Linked DNA regions of Oryzias latipes. The protein of the gene in region 2 purifies or fractionates together with the protein of the main gene of each other region. This does not show direct contact. Links are inferred from orthologs where the notes say so. Each region holds a gene or a part of one and is shown on either strand. Other genes may lie near its edges.

The links. The genes of interacting proteins can lie anywhere in the genome.
Region 1: the proteins of clcn5 (region 2) and tmem9 purify together in Homo sapiens (co-immunoprecipitation; 3 studies listed by BioGRID and IntAct, with this or other methods). This does not show direct contact. The link is inferred for Oryzias latipes from reciprocal best matches to the Homo sapiens genes CLCN5 and TMEM9.

Annotation. Positions count from the first base shown.
Region 1 is NC_019865.2:11,958,689-11,962,442, reverse strand, and holds the start of tmem9 (transmembrane protein 9), read left to right. Parts: upstream 1-1,500; 5' UTR 1,501-1,636; intron 1,637-1,818; 5' UTR 1,819-1,853; coding exon 1,854-1,943; intron 1,944-2,321; coding exon 2,322-2,413; intron 2,414-2,616; coding exon 2,617-2,725; intron 2,726-3,253; coding exon 3,254-3,385; intron 3,386-3,464; coding exon 3,465-3,605; 3' UTR 3,606-3,754. UniProt on the Homo sapiens protein: Transmembrane protein that binds to and facilitates the assembly of lysosomal proton-transporting V-type ATPase (v-ATPase), resulting in enhanced lysosomal acidification and trafficking.
Region 2 is NC_019876.2:21,114,036-21,117,789, forward strand, and holds the start of clcn5 (H(+)/Cl(-) exchange transporter 5), read right to left. Parts: upstream 2,527-3,754; 5' UTR 2,451-2,526; coding exon 2,399-2,450; intron 2,322-2,398; coding exon 2,172-2,321; intron 1-2,171. UniProt on the Homo sapiens protein: Proton-coupled chloride transporter. Functions as antiport system and exchanges chloride ions against protons. Important for normal acidification of the endosome lumen. May play an important role in renal tubular function.

The DNA.
Region 1 (3,754 bases), on a different chromosome or scaffold from region 2:
TGTATGTTTTCATTTGTGCTAAAAGCATTGCTTGCGGAGGGTGTGGGGGGTCATAGTTTTAATCGATCTGCATGGCAACAGACCCAAGTGGTTCAGGTTGATCTTGCAACTCATTGATTTAGACGGTTTATTAACGGTAAGAGTATCTTACTACACACAGAGGCATGAAGGCAGGATTACCTGGAAATGGGAATATCGATTGCACCAAGACACTAAGGCTCAGGTTTTAAATAAAGGGGGAAAATTGGACATGGGAATCATGTCAATTGTGAAAATAATAAAATACTGTAACAATAACAGATTACTTTATGTTGCAACATGAAAAATGTCTCTTTTAGCATACAGATAGTGGACCATCCAGACTACTCATGATTTTTGTTAAAGACCCACTCCAATGAAAATATACTTTCTGGTGTTTTAACATGTTCTTGTATCATTTTTTCTCATGATGGAGGTCATATAAGGAAAATCAAGCTGTAATTGTATTTCTGCATATTTCTTTATTCAAATTGATGTCAATCAGGAGCAGACGTTAAAATGCCGTAGGAAAAAGCAGGTAGCAGTGACATAGTCTACAGTCGGCAGGCCAGAAGCTGCCTGCGCTGCTCCATTCTGATGCATCCACTTGGAGACAAATAGATCCATATACAGTATGTGTTCGTTTTTCTCCTCCAGGCTGAAATGTAGCTCAAAACTGTGCGCCTGGATAGCTCCGATATTGCTCACCACTTTTTGTGCAACACAAATGTTAGGTTGGGGTTGTGAAGGGCTGCAAGCTGGAGAGCACCTAAACAAAGGGATGATGGAAAATGAGGGCACCAACAATCCTGTCCACAACTCAGAGGCAGAGTTCTAATGACCTACTACTGCTCTGCAGAAACCATGTCCTTGAAAGCGACAGTTGTTTTTATTGGGTTAAAAATGGCATAATCATAACTAAAAGACCAATGGGAATGCTTTTACGTAAGATCAAAAGATGATTGGAATGGGACATTAAGTCATTCAAATATCACAATTCTTTTAAAAATCATTGTCATCATATCTTAACTAAAAAATAGTGTTAAAAATGGCAATTAGTTTTTATTATTCAGTTGATTTTTGAAAAAAGGTAAATATAATTTTAGTTACATAATTAATTTGCTTGTTGTTTAAAACGGCCTTGCTTTAACCCTTGTATAGCACAAGGGTTAAAGCAAGGCTGTTTTAGGCACTTTAACATTGGGAGTTGGGTCATCTAGACCCACTAGACAGTGCTCTGAACCTTTTTTCTTCAATGATTTGTGATCTTCACTGGTGTCCATGGATTACATGAAATCTTTACACCTTTATCCTCCTTTGTCATGGTAGGACAACACGTCAATGTAAGGGTGGGGTCATCTAAGTTAGCACAAGGGTTAAACAAAGGAGAAGCTGAATTGGCGACATTTCATGTGCAATTCTGAATAATAAGGGACCTTCCGTATCTGTCCAGCAGATGGCGCTGTCGGTCCAGTTCCACAGTTCCGTGACGATAGTCCGGATCCAGGAAGAACAGCTCATTTCAGCAATTACAGCTTTTTTTTCAAGCTCTGCGATTCGTGCTAGAGCTGCGTCCTGAATGCACAACACGAATACGCTGCTGACGAGCTGTGAACACGTGAGTTAACGAGTTGTTTTAAAATTGACCAAAGTTGTTTTGTATTTTACGATTTCTTACCAAAAAAAAGCGACAAAAATAAATGGTTGTCACCCCCCCCCCCCCCCCAGCCGTTTCCGTCGTTGTTTACACCGTAGCTAGATGCTAGCTGTGCTAACTGCTAGCATTTGGTGTTTTGACAGGGCGTCAGTGGAGAACTTTCCGATCCAGCAGGGAGATGTTTGACAAATACGGACCTTTGAGCTTCTTAGCTGCTACAGTCGTGACTGTGTTTCTTCTGGATGCTGGTGCTGTTGCAGACGCTAAGGTGAAACAAGGGAAATGTGTTGTTTTAGCTTATCATATCCTATGACAATCATCCTGGATACTACTTCTTGTGTTTGCAAAATACATATTTTTATCATAAATATTTACATGATAATCCATACTTTTTTTTAAAATCAATTTGTCTAATAAATGAAATCAGGGACACTTCAGTTCTGATTATGCTTTCTGCTGTATTGTAAACAACTGTAAATAAACCCACGTGGCTTGTTTCAAAGTCCGATCTTTTTGACTGCTTTATCAGACCCGGATGAAGAACTAATCACCTGAATCAGGTGCAGCCTGGAACAGGGAAATAAGATTCACATGCAGCCCAGAACCAGGATTTAAAACTCTCTTCTTATTATCCTTGATGTTGCAGAACTTTGAAGATGTTCGCTGCAAGTGCATCTGTCCACCATACAGAAACATCAGTGGGAACATTTATAACAGGAATGTTACCCAGAAAGATTGGTAAGATCACTTTGTTAAAATGTATTTACTATTATTTAAATAATATCAATTTAGAAACAGTTTGGGAATTGGTTTAGTTACTTTTTATTACTTAATTGACACAAATGCTGACTTTTTGTCTGCATTTTCATGAGGTTGCCCTACACACTTTAATCTTACCTTGCAGGTATAAATATTAACGAAAACCTTTGCTTTCATTGCAGTACCTGCCTCCATGTTGTTGAGCCGATGCCAGTTCCTGGATATGATGTAGAAGCTTACTGTCTGCTGTGTGAGTGCAAGTATGAGGAGCGAAGTAGCAACACCATCAAGGTACTACAGGCTTTCATTTGATTTCGGTGGTTTGTCTCCTACAGTATCCTCCCTCAAAGCAAACGTCCTTCAAAATTCCTTGGGCAAAACCCTTCGCGCTACCGCCTAACTGTGTTGCCACAAGGGGCCCCAAGTCTGGGTCCCCCTATGTTGGTTTCCAGCCCGGATAAAACACAGGCTGGTGTCAGGGAGGGTATCCGGCGTAAAAATCTTTGTCAGACTACGTGTGCAAAACAGTGAAAGCTGAGTCGCTGGCGACCCCTGAACGGATTTGCTGGGGTCTTCAAACTATACCTATTATGACACCTTTTAACCAAAAGACCCAGAATACCAGTTTTTATTGTTTGAAGCATTTTATCTTTGTTTTGTTGCGTTTTGTATTGTATTGCCACAAAACCTGTCATTTATTGATTTGTGGGAAAGATACACCCCCCTACTAAAAATAAAATTGAAATGCTTGTTATGTCCTGTTTTTGTGATGTGCTGCAAAATGACATCTTTATGTGACCCGTTTGCTAAATGTTCCAGGTAACCATCATCATTTACCTGTCGGTTGTGGGTGCATTGCTGCTCTACATGCTGTTCCTGCTCCTTGTTGATCCTCTCATCCGGAAACATGACCCCTACACTCAGCCTCTGCACAACGAGGAAGACAGTGAGGTAATCATGCAAAGAAACATCACATGTATTGGTGTACATTATGAATGCCGCCGGTTTTAACATACGTCTGCGTTTGCAGGAGATGCGTCCGCAGGCAGACAGCGGGCAGGCCAGAGGAAACACGGTGCTGGAGCGGGTTGAGGGAGCACAGCAGCGCTGGAAGAAACAGGTCCAGGAGCAGCGAAAGACCGTTTTCGATCGCCACAAATTGCTAAGTTAAACTGTCAGCCTGAGCTTAAAACCCGGTTTAGAGTAAATGACCTCCTTGAGCTCAGACCAGCGGCACTATCACAAACCAGCACAGCATCCTCTGGATCAGTATTTTGACAACAAGAAACATATTAGCATGAACTTCTAACAGACTTGAAT
Region 2 (3,754 bases):
TAAATGTAGTTTTTAATAATCAATCAGCATTTTCAACATCACAACACAGGGGATTCATCAAGAGTCGTAGTGAAACGCTCATATTGATTCGATTTCTGCTTCGTGAAATCGGTGACATTTTTTCCGTTTAAAAAAAAAAACTGCAGTGAGCATTGTGTCCCAATTGCTTTTGAAAAGCCAGGGCACTAGGTAGTCCTGCACTATATCGTTTTTCAGTAGTTAGGGAGTAGGGTAGGAATTCAGACACAGCCTACAAGTAGTTTGTCCAAGTGCCGTTACCGTAGTGTGACATCATTACCATTTGCAATCCCCCGTGCTGATCTGGCAGGACAAACACATATTGTACCTACACCAGAAGCAAGGCATTTTCTATGGGTGACATCACACGCCATTCGTCCAGTTATTTAGTATACAGTCAATGATTTAGAGCAATCAAGAGATTTAAATGACAAAAAAATAAAAAATACACGGTTTCACTTCACAGCTAGGGTGTACTATTACAATGAAAATCATAGATAATTGTTTTTATATTATACACAAAAGCTGAGAAATCATAACTCATGCAGCTGTCCAATGAAAAAAAGACATAAAAAATTCAAAGAAATGGTGCAAAACCTGAACTAATATCATGAATTAAGTCATGATTTCACCTGCTTGAAAGAGTCTGTGGAGTCACAAACTTAATTCTTTCAGAAGAAACCCTTATGTGCTAAGGCTGCTGTTTTAGGAGGTGGAGAAGTAATGTGATGACATCACCAGTAACCGGGGAAACATCAGGAAGCCGCTGCAAGAGTCAAGGTTCCAAATCAGAACTTTTGGATCTCCGGTCATGATCAATGTTTCTCATGGAATCTAAACTACAACATTCTCAACAGGGACATGTTATTGTTCTCACATGTCAGCCCAGCATGCTAAGTAGCTTGTGCTTGGTGTTTAATGCAACTTCCGAATAATATATTTTAACTTCATTGTGCTGAAAAGAAATCCCCAACAGTTTATTTGCAAGTCTTATGTGCTGCCAACTCGTGCTGTCTGTCATCAGCCATCCAAATAACTAAATTACGCACAGCAGAGGGAAGTCTCAAGAACTTCTGAGATCCCAGAGGAACTCTGAATTCTGATTTCCTATAACCTGATCTGTCAAATCCAGCTTATCAGACCAAGAAAAGTGTGAGTTCATCACATACACAATGACGGTAACATGACATCAGCATTGGAGTTTAGATCAATTATGAGGTCAACAAAAACCCAACATGTCAGAGGAACAACACAATTCTAACATGTTCACACGGTGAATATGAACACATTGATCCAAAATGAAATACTCAAATAATGAGATAGCAAAAAAAGGAATATGTAGGCAGACGCTGCTGCTTAAAGACCCCTGCCAAAGAAAATTTTAAGTTTTAAAAAGGTTCTTGTGGCATTTTCTAATGACGGACATAAAGAAAATTAAGGTTAAATTTGCATTTCTGCTTATTTCTTTATTCAAATAGTGCAGAATCAAGAGCAGACAACAAAATGCAGTTGTAAAAAGCTTGTAGTAAAAACTACTACAGCAGGCCACAAGCTTTCTGCTTCGATCCATTCCGACGCACTCCCCATTTCTGTTGCACCGGAGTGTTAAGTTAGGGGTGTGAGGGGCTGTAAGCTAGCAAAATAGCATGGAAACAAAGGGATGATGGGAAGGCTTACACTGAACCAATGCTCCCACCCACAACTCAGAGGCAAATTTCTACTGAACTACTGCCGCTCTGCAGAACCTATGTCCTAGAAAACAACACAGGTTTTTCGATTTTGCTTAAAATTGGAATAATCCTCATTAAAACCCAACTGGGAACAGTTTGATAATAGTTCAAAAGATTATTGGAGTTGAAATTGCATATAACATTAAAGTAATAGATTAAACATCTTTATACTTAAATCAAGCAATGTCCAACCAAAGTGAAGCTGTGGGCGTTTTTCATTGAAATAGACGGCAGTGACATGTGAACTAAGGTCAAAGTTACCAAAAGCAGATTAAACACTCAATTCCATATCTGCTAAGTTCTGTTAAAGAAATAACCATAAAAATGTGACCATGTGCAGTATTTGTCTATTCTGGTTCTACATATTATCTAAGTTTATCTACCTGTCCTGCTGGTGTTTTTTTGTTCAACCGCTGGACTTACCTGAGCTGAGAGAAGGTATGTCGTCCGTTGTGGAGAAGTCCAGCGTGGCACCTGCGATGTCCACCATCTCGTCGTCATCATCATCACTGGAGTGATGAAGGGTATCATAGCTCCCGGTTCGGTATCCGGGGTTCTCCATGGTTCTGGACCCTGTTTGCAGCACAACAGAGTGCATGTTTACCCTCCACGCGCTGCATTAACTTAGCTTGAGCTAAAGCTGTCAATACCTGTGTCATTGTTTCGGACAGGTCTTCCCTGTATGCTCGACCACCTGAACATTGTCACTCAAAGTAATAAGGGGGGGGGGGGGGAGGATTCTAACTTTTTTTTGCTTTCTCTAAAAGAAAAGACACAAATGTAAATCCATCGGCCCCAAAGCTAGCCATAACACCCACATCATCAAGTTGATGATCAACGCAGGCAGCAGTTGCGACTCTTCAACTTCACTAAAGGAAGTTTTTATCTCCATTTCCGCCCCTTATTTCCTCTTTTACTTTTTAGTAAGCCGTGAGGCTGTACTTCAAAAATATTATAGCTAGTAACTATGTCACTGAAGCTAATAAGCTGATTTGTTGGTCGTTGTTTGGTGCTGTGCTGCTTAGCTAAAAATATAAAAAGGAAGACTAGATTTAGCACCAGACTAACTTAATTAGTAGTTCATGTTTTCTGTTTACGTGTCTTTGATGTGTTTCTTTTATTTCACAGGGAGAAAAATGGTTCTAAAGCGGTGAAAATAATGCTGTACCGTACCTTTACAGGAGATAACAACCGCTTAGCTCCAGGAAGTCTTGTGACTTCAGATTTGCCCCGCCGCCTGCTTCAGCGGGACCCGCTTATGTCAGCAGCAGGAACCCGTGTAAACTTAACGGATACGTGCAAATTCAGCATCATTATCCGGACGAAAAACAGCTGGTTTCAATAAAAGTACAGACACGAAACACAACAGTTGTTTAAAAAGGAAGTAAACGCCGTCAAACAGTGTTAACATTCGTATTCATTCCACCGTTTATGTTTATTCTGCTATTTAGACGATTGTTAAGCGACAATTATCATACAACCCAAAACTTCCGGTTCCATCCTCAACAATTATTTTAACGGACCTTTTTCCTTATAAAGTTCATTTTGAATAAAGTATAGCTTAAATCTTTGTTTGTGTGTCTACGTGTGTTTAAATTAAAAAAAGTATGCATTTTATTTATTTTCAGTGAAACTCTGCAGCTTTATTTTGTAGTCTGTAATGTGTATTTCCTGTTAAACTTCCATACCTTTGTCGTTTTCTCTGCGTTAGCATTCTAAATAAAACTACCTTTGCTTCGTCATTTTCTATGCTCTACTGAAAGGAAAACATAATCTATCAAAGGCGAAACTAAAGTGGAGGTGCATAGGTCGATCAGTGAGGAAAAGATTAGTGCATTTGTAAATTTCAATTCAACCTTTATTGACTTAAGCGATGTAAACACTGCGACAGATGACCAATATGACGTCACCCTACCAACAATTACGAACGGCTGTTGTCCGAACATGCAGCCAGTGGTCCGAACTCCTCTTCTTGTTGGAACTGCGATATTAGAGTAACTATGTAT